Rhinolophus ferrumequinum: one gene and its partner. The protein of the gene in region 1 purifies or fractionates together with the protein of each later gene. This does not show direct contact. Links are inferred from orthologs where the notes say so. Each region holds a gene or a part of one and is shown in the gene's direction. Other genes may lie near its edges. The genes, in order: NECAP2 and AP2S1.

Region 1 (7,687 bases):
AATTCTCAGGCCCCAATATTCCACAAGCTGAAGTTTGAAGGGGGCAGAGGCTCCAGAGGGGATCCAGCCCCCCCGTCTCCGTTCCCATTGGAAGCTTACAAACTGGGAATCTGGACAAGAAGGGGAAGAGCCCAACCCTAGCAGAAAGGCATGGAATCTGAGGACAGACTTGAGGGGGGTGGGTGGCCAATATAGACTGTGCCCCCTTTTCAGGACACTTGGTTCCCTTTTTTTTCACAGCTTTATCGAGATTTAATTCACATACCATACAACTCACCCATTTAAAGTATACAATTCAATGGCTTTTCGTATATTCAGAGAATTTTACAATCACCACCCTTAGCACATTTTTTGTCACCCCGAAAAGAAAGCCCACACCGCTTAGCCATCCCCTCATCTCACGTACCCCACCCCCCGCCCGAGGCAACCACCAATCTACTTTCTGTCTCATAGATTTGCCTATGCTGGACATTTCATGTAAATGGAATCATACACTATGTGGTCCGTGGTGACTGGCTTCTTTCATTTAGCAAAGTGTTTTCAAGGCTCATCCATGTTGTAGCTTGTATCAGCCCTTCATTCCTTTTTATGGCCCATATACCACATTTTGTATATCCATTCATCAGTTGCTAGACATTTGAGTTGTTTCCACTTATTGGCTATTATGAATAATGCTTCTATGAATATTTGTGTACAAATTTTTGTGTGAACATGTTTTCATTTCTCTTGTACATATATACGAGCAGTGGACTTGCTGGGTCATATGGTAACTCTATGTTTAGCCTCTTGAGTAATTACCAGACTGTTTTTCAAAGTGGCTGCATCATTTTACATTCCTCCAAGCAGTGTATGAGGGTTCCAATTTTTCCACATTCTCACCAAGACTTGTTATTATCCAACTTTTAAAAATAATTCCAGCCATCCTAGAATTATGTGTTCATGTGAAGTGGTATCTCACTGTGGTTTTAATTTGCATTTCCCTAATGACTAATGGTGTTGAGCATCTTTTCATGTGCTTCTTGCCATTTGTATATCTTCCTTGGAAAAATGTCTATTCAGGTCCGTGGTCCATATATAAATTGGGTATTTGTCTTTTTATTATTGAATGGTAAGTGTTCTTTGTATATTCTAGATGCAAGTCTTTTGTCAGATACATAATTTGCAATATTTTCCTCACGTTATGTGAATTGTATTTTCCATTTTTTGTCCTTTGAAACACAAAAGTTTTCAATTTTGTTAAAGTCCCATTTATCTACTTTTTCTTTTGCTTTTTTTTTTGCTGCTTATGTTTTTAGTGTCATATTTAAGAATCCATTAGATTCTTTTTATTATAACATAAATCCAAGGTCATGGAGATTTATGTCTATGCTTTATTCTAAGAGTTGTATAGTTTTAGCTTTTACATTTAGGTCTATTATCCATTTTGAATTAATTTTTGTATATGGTGTGAGGTAGGGGTCCAACTTCATTCTTTTGCATGTGGATATATCATCCGAGAATCATTTGAAAAGACTATTCTTTCTCTACTGAATTTTCTTAGCATGTTTACGAACAGTCAACTGACTGTAAATGTGAGAGTTTATTTCTGGATTCTCAATTCTGTTCCATTGATCTATATGTCTATCCTTATGCCAGTAATACATTGTCTTGATTAATGTAGCTCATTAGTAAGTTTTGAGATCTGGAAGTGTAAGTCCTCTAACTTTGTTCTTTTTTTTTTTAATTAAAGTATAATTGACATACAATATAATATTTGTTTCAGGTAATTCGACATATTTCCTATGATGTGATCACAATAAGTCTAGTAACCATCTGTCACCATACAAAGTTATTAAAATAATATTTATTATTTCCCCTATGCTGTACATTACATCTATGAGAATTTTTTTCTTAATAACTGGAGGTTTGTACCCCTTATGCCCCTTCACTCTTTTCACCCATACCCCACCCCCCTCCCCTCTGGCAACCATCAGTTTGTTCTCTGTATCTATGAGTCTGTTTCTGTTTTATTTGTTTGTTTTGTATTTTCAGATTCCACACGTCAACTTTGTTCTTTTTCAAAATTGTTTTGGTATCGAGTGCTCTTTTATAAGTATTTTCCCCATCTGAGAAATGGGTGAACTTCTCTTATAAAATGTTTGTGATGGTAGGAAAACACAACAGAGAAAGATGATAAGTGACCTATAATATATATGTCTGGAGGCCACCAAGGAAAACTGCTCACATCCAACCCCCGCTCCCCTTGGCCCTGGACCAACAAGAAAACAGCTGGATAAATCACAGAGAGATTTTACAACCCCGCTCACCTCCTCACACATAAGATGGGCTCTCTCTGAGCCTATTCTCTGCCTGTTGGGTTGAATTGAATTCTTTTGGTAAATACTGTAGTTAACCTGGGAGTAGATGGTAGGTTCAGTTATTCTTAGCAACAGAGGTTTAGGAACGCATTTAGGGAATGTCCAGCCATGTGGTTGGGTTTTGAGAATAAGGCAAGGGGACTGTCTGACCTCCAACTAGAAGGCACTGTAGTTTCCCTGGGCTTGTCACTGTTTCAGTGGCCTTCATTACACAATGAGGATAACAATCCTTGCCCTGTCTACCTCACAGGGATTATTGTCAAGGTAACCTCTTCCAGAGAGCCATCCCTGACTGCCCCCAGGTTGCGTGGGTTTCTCTTCTCTTCACTCCTACAGGCCCCTGTGAGTTTCCTCCATCATAACACTTTTCACTCTGCATTGCAAATGACTCTTTTCTTCTCTGTCTCCTCTCTGGTCTGTGAGCTCCATGAAGGCAGAGCAGGGTCAGCCTTATCTCTGTGGCCCTAGCACCCAGCACCTGGCATCTGGTAGGTACTCACTCAATGCCCATCTTTGTTAGACTGAACTGAACTGAAAGTGCTCTGAACACATTGTAAGGCCTGGCTGCCCCTGGCACAGAGTGATGATCCCCTTTGAGGCTGATGAGAGAAAGGTTTTCTACCTGTGGCAGCCACATGGCAAGGCCCAGAAGAGTCACTGAGGGTCACCTCCCCACTGCTTGGCTTCCAGAGCGGAAATGATGGAACTCGGTGCTGATGGTAGACGCTACCCCAAAGCTGGTCCTAGGTGCTCTCCAAGATGGAAGTTTCTCTGACTCAGTGGGTCCAGGTGCTTTCCTTCTGTGATACTTGATTTTCCCATGTTGTTCAGCACATGTAAGGAATCAGAGTATGAAAGAGAAAACACAGTGGCCCATTCCCAAATTGCCCCTTGGCCTTGGAATGCAGCCAACTGAAAACACACACTGTCGGGGACAGAGTCCCAGAGAGCAGTTTCCAGGCTCTGGGGCTTGCGTGGGGAGGTGCTGGCTCGGGTAGTGAATGACCATCAACTGTGATTAGTTGGCCATCAGCTGTAACCGGTTAGCCAATTGGCTACTGATGTAACTGCAGGGCTGCGTTGATTGGTTGGTTGGTTGGCAGGCAGAGAAGTGAATGGCGGACTGTGGGTCATGTGGCTACTACTGCGTGTGTCTTCCCAGCCTTCAGTGAGACTATAGTGGCATGACTCCCCTACCTATGGCTCCGTGGGTGTTCCTTCTTGGCCTCACCATATCCTGCGTTCTTATGTGGGGAGCGGGACCAGAGGCCCCGCAGGCTGCCCCGCACGACAGACACACACACACACACACACACACACACACACACTCACTCATTTACTCTTTCACTGCGCACTTACTCTGTGCCAGGACACTAAATACAGCAGTCTACAGGTGGCAGGGACGGGGCCCTACATTGAAGCTCACAGTCTAGTGGGAAAACAGACATATAAACTGACCGGTGAGAATATAAGGGGATAAGATTTGTCTGTGTGGGAGTGTGTCCTCACCTCCGTCTTAATACCTCTCCCCCTCTATCATCTAAGGGGAGTTCTCTCTTTGCCCCTCCAGGACTTTAGCAAGATGAGAGTCAGGATCAAAGAACTGGGAGGAAGAAATATCATTTTCTGGGTCATTTCTCAATTTCTTCTTTAATGTGCAGAAGCAGGGTAATGAGCAAAGTTGAAATTAGAAGTTATGCCAATTCACATAATGAGAGATTAACTTCACACTCTCCTGGATGACTATGACCAAAGATAGAAAATAAGTATTGGTGAAGTTGAGGAAAATTGGAACCCTTGTTCGCCGCTGGTGAGAATGTAAAACGGTGGAGCCGGAGTGGAAAACAGTTTGGGGGCTTCTCCTAAAGCTAAACATAGAAATGTCATATGGCTCAGCGAGTCCACTCCTAGATACATACTCAAGAGAACTGAAAACAAGAACTCGAACAGGTATTTGTACTCTGCCGCGCACGAGGCCTTGTGGGAGGGGGAAGCCCCTGGAGAACCCCAGTCCTCATCAGGGGGATTCCTGGGTCCGACCGCCGTATGTCTTGAGCCAGGGCTTCCAGCAGAGGGCGCCGGAGCGATGTGGTGCTGAGGTCCCGAGCTGCCGCTCTAGCCTGACCCAGGTCATAGAGTCGCGCCGCTTCCGGCACCCCCGCTCCAGGCTGGGAAGGAGCCGGAAGTCTGGCGGGCTCCGGGCATCGCAATGGAGGAGGGCGAGTACGAGTCGGTGCTCTGCGTCAAGCCAGAAGTGCACATCTACCGCATCCCGCCACGGGCCACCAACCGTGGCTACAGGTGACTGCCCACCACCGGGCCAGGCTAGCCCCAACTTAATCCCTTCCCCGCCGCCCGGCACGCCCACTGTTGGGAGCTGAGGATGGTTACGGCCAGCTTAGGGGCGAGGGGAGGTAATGCTCAGGTTTCTCTCGGTTCTTGGTCAGAGCTGGAAGGGAAGCCCAGAATTTTGGCCGTCTAGGTCCAACGCACCGAGCTCCCGGCTGCGGGAAAGGCGTTAAAGCCGTGTCTAGTGTTTGGGGACCCGGTGGGCTGCCAGGTACCCTAAACGTGGTCGGGAGTGGTGGTGTCACAGACTTTTTTCTTTCAGAGCTAGCTGGTGGCCTTGAAGGGATCCTTGAAAAGCCTTAGGGGGGAGGGGACCTATCACAGGCGGAAATCCCGGAGGGGAAGGAAGGGAGCCCAGAACCGGCCGAAAGGACAGGTCCCGGGGGCTTTTAAGCTGATGGCGGAAGCCCAGGGAGCCCTCCCTGTCCAGCTCCCTTCGTGTGAACTTGATACTTTATCGCTGCCTGTGGCAGTTGGGAGGAATCCATCCACACTTCTCTGGAGAAATGTTCCTGAGACGAATAAACACATATACTCGTAGACTATCTGGAAGGGAACGGGGGTTGAAAGGGGCTTACTTTCACTGTGTACCTTTTTGTACTGTTTGCGTTTTGTTACCGTGTGTATGTATTACTTATCAAAAGAAGACGAAAAATAATTAAAAGAAAAAAAGATTACCTGATACAGACAACCTGGCCTATGGCTATTTTGTGCCACTGGGCGGGGGGTGGGGGTGGGGTGGGGGGTGGTAAGGCGGGGGTGTGCTCTTGAAGGGAGTATTTGTTCAAGTTATTTGGAAATACAGGACTGGCCTGCAAAAGGATGGTGGAGTGTGGACAGATCTCTCCTCTTGTTAATTTCCAGTTGTGTTAATGGGATCATAGCTGATTGGGTAATGAACCCATATTTTGTTGAACACCTGCTGCATCCGTAACATGATTTAAAAATAGCACAAAAATAGTATAAAAGTAGCAAAAACACATTTGCTTTCTGTCATCACTGGAGATGGACCACCAAACCAGTGATGGTTGTCTACCCTCATCCCCTTTCAGTAGGATGGGTTTGACGCCTCTTGGACCCCCAGAGAGCAAGATTACCAAGTGTCAGGACTGGCCGGTTTGGCATAGAGGAAGCTGTCCTTCAATCTCAGAGCTCAGAGTCTAAGGCCTGTCGCCCCAGTAAGAGGAACTGAAACAGCCTGCTGACTTCTGACTTGTGAATTGAGAATCTGCATTTGGGTGGCCTTCCAAACAACCTACATCCACAGTTATAGTGTGTCCCATATGCTTGGGACTTCCAAGAAAAGCTTCTTGGAAACACCCAAAGTTCTTGCTATTAGGGGATTTTACTGAGCGGCTTCTTAGAACTAAAATGTGAAGTTACTGCTTTAAAAGAGCCAAAAGAGGGTATTGCAATAGGTCCATGGTTTCCTGGGTTCCTTTCTGCTTTTCTGCCTAGGATACCTTTGAGAATGTTTCTTAAACACCCGTTCACTTTTCTCGTGTACTGTTGCTCTCCTTTTCTCTGCTAATGATTGCTCCCCTCTCTGCTTTTCCTCCACGATGGTGTCAGTGGTCCCAAATGATCACTGACCACACCAGCCTAGCACTGTCTTCAACAAACAACAAGCCCCAGGAGCTGCTTCCTCTATAGAAATAAAACTGGAATTCCTACTTCAGAGAAGATCTCTAGACTCGTAATCTAGAACTGGGGTCAGCAAACGACGTTCCACTGTTTTTGTATGGCTCACAAGCTAAGACTGGTTTTTATGTTTTTAAGTGTTTGGAGAAATTTTTAAAGAAGACATTTCATGAAGTGAAAATTACATGAAATTCAAATTTTGGTTCATAGTTTCACTGACATACAGCCACACTCTGTAGAAACCATTCGTTTAAAATACTTAAAGCACCAACACACTTACGTACAGCCTTTGACTGCTCTCACTACAATGGCAGAGTGAGTGTTTGTGACAGATTGTGTCGCCGTTTTCAGAGAAGTTCGCCAGTCTCTAGCGCAAGCCTTCCACATGCCCTTCCCATCCTCATCCTCAGCATAGAAGGGAGCCTCCAGCAGAGGCTCAATGGTTTTTGTCCCCTTAGGGCTGCGGAGTGGCAGCTGGACCAGCCATCATGGAGTGGCCGGCTGCGGATCACTGCAAGAGGGCAGGTGGCCTACATCAAGCTGGAGGACAGGACCACAGGTAAAGGCAAGGGAAGTCTGTGTGTGTGGGGCTGAGGTGCCATGCCACTCTGTGAAGGGAGAGGCAGCCCTGGCCTGGCCAGGCCACTGCGGGGTCATGGGAACCTGTCCTGGAAATTAAAAACCCCAGTGTGTACCTTTAAGACCCCAGTGAACCATCCTCCCCACCTTTGGTTGTAGTAACCAGTATCCCCAGATGTTAAAGGCAGTATTTCCTGTCAAGCACTTTTTCTTTTGGAGGGCCCTTAAGAAAATACTAATTTTGGAGTCTAAGGAGAGGAGATCTGTAGGTTGGTCCCAAAAGGGAAGCCCCGGAGCTTGTCTTGAGACGAGCTGGGTGAAGACGCACAGCCCTCTGCTGTGGAGCTCTGGTTCTCACTCAGGAATTCTGTTTATCAGCTAAGTGGTAACTCCCCAGACTGACCACGCCCGTTAACTGAAAGAGCTGGAAACTGGCCGACTCAGCTTTTTCTTTGGTGAGATGAGCTAAGCTGGGCAGTGTTGGGGTCAGCCAGCAGACGCACGTTAGGGGAAATCTCTCCAGAAGTCCTGTGCCACCTGTGCCTCTGGGTGAGCTGCAGAGGGCAGCCCGGCCCCCAGAGCAGGGATTGGGCACAGTGCCTGCCCGGTGCAGCGCCTCGGCATTTGGTCATCTGTTTTTCTAATACGTAGAAATTATCCTTTGTGGGGTGGAATAAAGGGCAAAGATTCATAGGCAAATGAATTCTCAGCACTGCATCGTTTGTGTGTGAGCTGTGGGACCTTGGCCTCGTTTTTGTTGA
Region 2 (7,770 bases), on another chromosome or scaffold:
GCTCATGTCTGCTACATATGACCCCAGAGAGAAATTGCTGGGTGTGCATGTGTTCACTTTCTTTAACCAGTTTCCCAAAGTGGATATACCAATTTACATCCCATAGACATGTATAAGAATTTCAGCTGCTCCACGTTTTCCCAAGCACTTGATATTGCCTGTCTTTTTTTTTTTTAATTTTTATTGGAGAACAGTGTGTTTTTCCAGGACTCATTAGCTCCATGTCAAGTCATTGTTTTCAATCTAGTTGTGGAGGGCACAGCTCACTGGCCTATGTGATAATCTAACCAGCAACCTTGTTAAGAGCACCGTGCTCTAACCAACTGAGTTAACCGGCTGCCCCTCTTGCCAAATTTTTTTTTTAATTTTTGTTGGGGAATATGGGGAGCAGTGTGTTTTTCCAGGACCTATCAGCTCCAAGTCAAGTTGTTGTTTTGTTTTGTTTTTCAATCTAATTGTGGAGGGCGCAGCTCAGCTCCAAGTCAAGTCATTTCACTCTAGTTGTGGAAGGTGTAGCTCACTGGCCCATGTGGGAATCAAACCGGCGACCTGGGTGTGATGAGCTCTGCGCTCTAACCAACTGAGCCATCCGGCCGCCTCTCTTTGCCCATTTTTTGATGAGTTGTTGAGTTGTAGTTCTTCATGTACTCTGGATAATAATCCCTTACCAGATATGTGTTTGCAAAGATTTTCTCCCATTCTCTGGCTTGTCTTGTCACTCTTGATAGTCCTTTGATGCAAAATTAAAGTTTTTAATTTTTATGTTCAATTTACATTTTTTGTTGTTGCTTATGCTTTTGGGATCACATAACTTTTAAAAGAAATATACTCTTTACTAACAATTGTCACCACAATAAACTTTAATTTAAAAGAAAAGAAATATATGACAGAAATTAAGTGGTCAAACTTAATATCACCAAGGATGAAACCAACCAACATCACATGCCCCCAGCCGGATACTCTAAGAAGGACACGGCATCACTTATGTGATATTCCTGACAAAAAATGTCAAACCTGGATCTAATCATGTAGAAACATGGACTCTTAGAAAATGCCAACCTCTTGAAATACTAACAAGACAAGGGAACTGTTCCAGATTTAATAAGGCTAAAGGAACGTGACAGTTAAATACAACCTATGATTCTGGATTCAATTGAACAGAAATCAGATTTGTGTACCAATTGTTCCAGATCCTGGAACAGAAAAAAAAATCTATAAGGAATATTACTGAGATGATCAGGGATATTTTTATATGGACCTATATTAGATAGTAGTGTAGTATTAATATTTTTCGCCTTTTAAAAAAGTGCTTATTTATGTCAATTACAGTTGATACTCAATATTATTTTATATTAGTTTCAGGTGTGTAGCACCTGAATGTTAAACATTTATATAGCTTATGCAATGATCCCTCGATTAGTCTAGTACCCACCTGGCAATATACATAGTTGTTGAGACATTATTGACCATATTCTCTATTGCTGTACTTTACATACCTGTGACTATTTTGTAACTACCAATTTGTACTGATTTTTTTATTAGTTTCAGGCGTACAAAGCAACATAATAGTTAGACATTTAAACCCCTCATAAAGTGATAACCCACCTTCCAAGCTACTACCCCTCTGACATCTTATATAGCTGTTATAATACCATCGACTTTCTTCTCTATGTTGTACTCCACATCCTGTGACTATATATACCTATATATTTAGTTATAGTTGACATTCATATTATCCTACTTCAGCTTCAGGTGTATAGCGCATTGGTCAGGCATCTACATAGTCTATGACGCGATCCCCTGATAAGTCCAGTGCCCATCTGACACCTTACATGATCTTTGCAACATTGTTGATTATATTCCCCATACTGTATTAACTACCAATTTGTATTTCTTAGTGCCTTCACCTTCTTCACCCTGCCCCCAACCCCATTCCCATCTATCACCCCTGACAGATCTAGTGCCTATCTGATGCCATACCTAGTTATTACAGTATTGTTAACTATATTCCTTATGCTATACCCTACATCGCCATGACTACTGTATAACAACCCATTGTACTTCTTAATCCCTTCCCCTTTCACCTGTCCTTAACCCCTCTCCCATCATAAAAAAGTCCCTCTAAGATTCCTTGTAATACTGGTTTGGTGGTGATGACCTCCTTCAGTTTCTTTCTTCTCTGGGGAGCTCCTTATCTGTCCCTCAATTCGAAATGACAGCCTTTGCTGGGTAGAAACAATCTTGGTTGTATGTTGTTGCTTTTTCATCACTTGGAGTATTTTTCTGCCACTCCCTTCTTGCCTGCAAAGTTTCTGTTGAGAAATCAGCTTGACAGTCTTATGGGGGGCTCCCTTATAGGTAATTAACTGCTTTTCTCTTGCTGCTTTAAGATTCTCTCTTTGTTTTCAATCTTTGGCATTTTAATTATGATGTGTCACGGTGTTGGCCTCTTTGGATTATCTTGTTTGTGACTCTCTGTGCTTCCTGGGCTTATATGTCCATTTCCTTCACCAGGTTAGGGAAGTTTTCTGTCATTATTTCTTCAAATAGGTTTTCAATTCCTTGCTGTCTCACTTCTCCTTCTGGTACCCCTATAATGTGACTGTTGGTACACTTGATATTGTCCTAGAGGCCCCTTAACCTCTCCTCAATTGTTTGGGTTCTTTTTTCTTTTCCTGTTCTGGTTGGGTGTTTTCTGCTACCTTATCTTCTACATTGCTGGTTGGATCCTCTACTTCATCTAATCTACTGTTGATTCCCTGTAATATAGTCTTTGTTTCCATTATTGTATCCTTTATTTCTGACTGTTTGTTCTTTTTTATGGTTTCCATCTCATTTTTATGAGATCACTGAGCATTCTTATAACCAGTGTTGGAACTCTGCGTCTGATAGATTGCTTATCTCCGTTTCACTTAGTTCTTTTGCTGGAGCTTTGTTCTGTTCTTTTGTTGGGACATGTTTCTTTGTCTCCCCATTTTGGCTGCCTCCCTGTGTTTGTTTCTATGTATTAGGTAGGGCTGTTACATCTTCCAATCTTAGTAGAGTGGCCTTATGTAGTAGGTGTGCTGTGGAGTTCAGTGCCACAGTCTTTCTGGTGATCTGAGCCACGCACTCCAGGTGAGTCCCTTGTTTGGGTTGTGTGTGCCCTCCTCGTGTAGTTGAGCCTTGGTTGATAATTGCACATCAATGTGAGGGACTGATTCTTAGGCTCACTGATTATGAGGATTGGCCTTGACTATAGTGGAAGAGCTGTTGGCAGGGGCTGATCCTACAGAGCAAGATCTGCCAGTGTAGTATTACTATTTAAATTTCCTGAATGTATCATTGTATGTTTATGGAGGAGACGTCTTTGTTCTTAAGAGGAATGTTGAAGCATGAAGCCTTTTGGGATGAAATAGCATGATATTTGCAACTCACTTAAAATGGTTCAAATAAATATAGAGAGAGTAAATGTGGCAAGATATCAACAATTAGTGAATCAAGATGAATAATACATTGGAGTTCATTGTGCTAATACTACAACTTTTTGTAGATATGAAAACTTTCTATGCAAAAAGTTGGAGAGATAAATAAAAAGAAAAATCAAATGACACACTGTATACGTGTCACTCTGCATCTCCCTTTGTTTCTTCAACAACATGTCCTAGGGATCGTCCAAGTCAATGCACAGAGATCTTGCTCACTCATCGTAACTCTCGTTGCATAATATTTTATGTGACTGCATGTGATTGAGTTTTCCTCTATTGATGCATATTTTGTCTCTTTCCAATTTTTCCCTATAACAAGCATGCTGTAATGACATGGCAAAGGAGAGAATCTTTCCAGGGTCCATACTCATACTAAAGTGCTGGGACTAGTCCTTTCCGTCTATTTCTGTGGAATGTCACCTCAGGCTCCAACCACCCAGGCTGTGAGATTCCTGGGGGCAGAGACAAAGTCTGTGCCCCTGCTTGAGCACTCTGCCTGCCTTGCCTTCCCCAGCCCCCACCTACGATAATCATTGCTTGGTTAATTTCCACTCATCTTCGGATCTCGGCTCAAATGCCACTCCCTCTGGGAGGTTTGTCCCTAAGTCTTCACCTAGACTAGGTGCCTCCGCTATAAGCAATTGTAGTAGTCAGGTTTCAGGATAGACTGCAATGATTCTAACCTGGTATTCATATCCCCTCCTACACTGGATAGGGCTGATTTGTGTACCTGTAGGACATTGCGGAAATAACAGGGTGTGACTTCTGACTCCCAAAATGCTCATATGCTACTGTCCGTCTTCCACAGAGAAACACTCAAGGTATTTTAAACAAAGCACTAAGTGAGCACCGAAAGACAGTTACATTTCTAGCTCCCCCAAACGCAGTTTCTTATTTAAAACTACTATTCCCAGCATGCCCTTCTTTCCTTGAAAGTGGTGCGGGGGCGGGGGGCGGGGGAAGGAAGGGTCTACTAGAACTACATTTCCCAGAATGTAACGCCCAACGTGCATTTCGGGAATTGTAGTCTTCTGAAGAAGTGCACCGACAACTCCCGGCATGCATTTGGAGCATGACCCGTCTGGTGGGAAACGGACAGGAGCGCGCCAGCATGTTGGAAGAATGATCGTGTCTTCCACTGGCCTGCCGCCCGAACGAGCAAACCCATTCTTGGGACTACAATTCCCAGCGGGAAGTGCGCGATAGGGCAAGAGGGTTCCTCTGCCGGAAGTCCGCTCTAGCCCTGGGTCCTCCAACTGCTTCCAGAGCCGGAGCCGCCCAGTCGCCGCGGGACCGGGCCAGCTGGGGTCCGGACGGGGGTCGCCATGGTAACGGGGCCGCGCTCACGCTGGGGACAGGAGGAGGGTGGGTCCACGTGCAGATACTGGAGGCTCGGCTGGGTACTGACAGTCGCCCCCCGCTGCTGTGGCAATGGTCTGGGCCGGGCGCGGGCTCTCGGGATTGGGACCGGTCACAGGCCAGAAAGGGGGGAACTGAATGGTAATTCTGGGCGCGGGGGGGTGTACCCGAGACTGGAGGCTAGGGACATTGAGATCAGGTGTCAAGGGGAGAGGGTTGTGCGGGTGGGAGGACATTGGTGATGATTGGGGGGCTTTGAAAACGGAGGCAACTGACAAAGCAGGGTCTCGGAGGTGGGGAGAAGGAATTGGAGGTGGGATGGAGGTGTCCTGAGATGAGGGCTCTCTAGGAGTGTAGCAGGAGCGTGGGAGAAGAATAAGAGACATAGGGATAGAGAGAAGGGGTCTCTAGAGGCAGGAAGCTGGCATTACAGGCGGGAGAGGGGGTGTTGAAAACGAGCGAGATACTGCTGATGAGAGATAATCCCAGGGGAAGAGACTGGACAGTGGAGACGGGAAGTAGACAACTGTAGGGAATGGGTTTAGAGTCGGGGAAAGTGCTGCAAAGGGGGAAGAAGGCTTGGAGGTAGGGAGTGGATACTAGAAATGAATGGGGCGCAATGGAACAGGTCTTTCCAAGGAGAGCTGAGTTGGGGGGGTCGGATTAGGCATGGAAATGAGAGATGGCGTTTGTGGAGCAAGGACGGGCCATTGGATTTAGCACCCGTCCCCGGGTATGGCTTTTGAACCATAAGAAAGGATTTCTTTGGGCAGGAAGTAGGGAAAAAGAGATGAATGGGGGGTGGTGTCAGAACAGCTTTGCCTCAGCTCCAATAGGTTTGCTTCCTGGTCTCCTTCCTGTATGCCCATATATCCCGGCTCTACCCCTAGGCTGTGGCTGCCTGAGGTGGGTCCCACCCACCTCCACCCCAAGCCCTTTCCCTTCCTGACCAGCACCCCTGCCCTGCTAGGAAGTGGTTTTCCCTAGCCTCAGCAGAAGGGATTCTGGAAGGAAAGTGCAATATCCTGTTCCCAGCCAGCTTGATTGGTTGGGGTTAGGGGAGAGAGTATATGGAGAAAGGCTTAGGAAAGAGAATGGTCTTTCATGAAAGGGTGGAGACTCCCACAAGGCAGGGGTAAGGGGGTTCAGAACAAAGCCATTGGACTCCCAGCTCTGCTTGCTGACTGTGAGACTTCTTCTCTGAGCCTCAGTTTCTTCATCTATAAAATGGGCATAAAGCATGCCTGTCTCAACCAGAACTGGGCTCAAAGGCAGCCTTCCTAGCTGGGCCATGATTTTCTCAAAGTCAAATGATGATGAATTATAATACGAAGAACTAATACTAACGAGTATATGTCACTTAGTATGGGCTAGTCACTATACTACACCCCTTATGTTTATTAAGCTGTGCAACGGTCTTATGAGGGAAGGACTCTCATTATGTCTGTTATACAGAAGGGGAAACTAAGGTCCAGAAAGGTTAAGTGGCTTCCCATGAACACAGTGAGCAGTGCCAAGATTCATTCAGACTCTAGAGTTTGTGTTCTTAATGTCCCTCAATCATAATAATAGCTAATTTTATTGAATGCTTGATAGGTAGTAGGCACCCTGCTAAGCAAGCACTCCTGGCATTAACTCCTTCAGTTTTCTTAGTAGCCCTGTGACGGTTGACCTGGCATTTTAGAATCATACAAACAATTTTCCTAGTAATCATAGTGGACACTGTGTATTATCTGAACCAGGCACTACTCTGGGTACTTCTCAGATGTTGTTTGTTCCTCATCACACCCTTATATGGCCCTATTTTTTAGGTGGATAAACTGAGGCACTAAGCAGTCAAGTCACTTAGGAAGCAGCAGATGCTTTGGAAAACAGTTTAGCAGTTCCTGGAAAAGTTACACGTAGAACCCAACAAGTCCACTCCTAGATGTCTACCCAAGAGAAATGAAAACATGTCCACATAAAAACGTATACACAAGTGATCTTAGCAGTATTCTCAGAATCACCAAAAAGTGGAAACAGCCCAAATGTCCATCAGCTGATGGAAAGATAAACCAAACGAGATTTATCCGTACAGTGGAATATTATGCAGCCATAAAAAGAAATGAAGTGCTGATATATACTACTACATGGATGAACCTTGAAAACATTATGCTGAGTGAAAGAAGCCAGGCACAAAAGGCCATATATGGTGTATTCCACTTATATGAAATGTCCAGAACAGGCAAATCCACAGAGACAGAGAGATTAGTGGTTGTTAGGGGCTGGGAGGAGGGAAAGTGACTGCTACTTAGTCGGGGTTTCTTTTTGGGGTGATGAAAATATTCTGGAATTAGATAGTGATGTTTTTTGCACAATTGTATGAATATATTAAAAACCACTTAACTGTACACATTTTAGGTGAATTTTATGGTATGTGAATTATATCTCAATTTTTAAAAAGTAAAAAGAAATAAAGAAGTTGGCATTACCGGACTCAGGCCAAAGAATGACACTCAGTTACTGGGTGCCTGCTATGTTATCAGCCACTGGACTCATTTTATAAACTTGTTTTGCCATTGGGGGAACTGAGGCGTAGAGGGGTGGATCTTTTGTCCAAGGTCAGGCAGACAAGAAGGGGTGCAGCCTTGGGACTCAGGGCCCTGGAGCTGAGTGGAGTTGACCACTTGGTGGAAGAGAAATCACTCTACAGAGGGTACTGGAGGGACCTGGGACGGGAGCACGTGGTCAGGTCGGCCTGGCTGGGCTCTGGGGAAGGCAGGCAGCAGGGAGGCTTGGACCCTATCTCCCTGGTGGCGATGGGTGGGGCTGTTGGGTGTAGCATTGGCCCTCCCTCCCTGCCGCTCTCACTTCCTCCTCCTGCTGCCCCCAGATCCGCTTCATCCTTATCCAGAACAGGGCGGGCAAGACGCGCCTGGCCAAGTGGTACATGCAATTTGATGAT

What was found.
Region 2: the proteins of NECAP2 (region 1) and AP2S1 purify together in Homo sapiens (affinity purification with mass spectrometry; 3 studies listed by BioGRID and IntAct, counting the BioPlex papers as one, with this or other methods). This does not show direct contact. The link is inferred for Rhinolophus ferrumequinum from reciprocal best matches to the Homo sapiens genes NECAP2 and AP2S1.

What each region holds. Positions count from the first base shown.
Region 1 is NC_046292.1:11,052,413-11,060,099, forward strand, and holds the start of NECAP2 (adaptin ear-binding coat-associated protein 2), read left to right. Parts: upstream 1-4,513; 5' UTR 4,514-4,566; coding exon 4,567-4,658; intron 4,659-6,805; coding exon 6,806-6,906; intron 6,907-7,687. UniProt on the Homo sapiens protein: Involved in endocytosis.
Region 2 is NC_046298.1:42,935,513-42,943,282, reverse strand, and holds the start of AP2S1 (AP-2 complex subunit sigma), read left to right. Parts: upstream 1-4,596; 5' UTR 4,597-4,792; coding exon 4,793-4,795; intron 4,796-7,698; coding exon 7,699-7,770. UniProt on the Homo sapiens protein: Component of the adaptor protein complex 2 (AP-2). Adaptor protein complexes function in protein transport via transport vesicles in different membrane traffic pathways.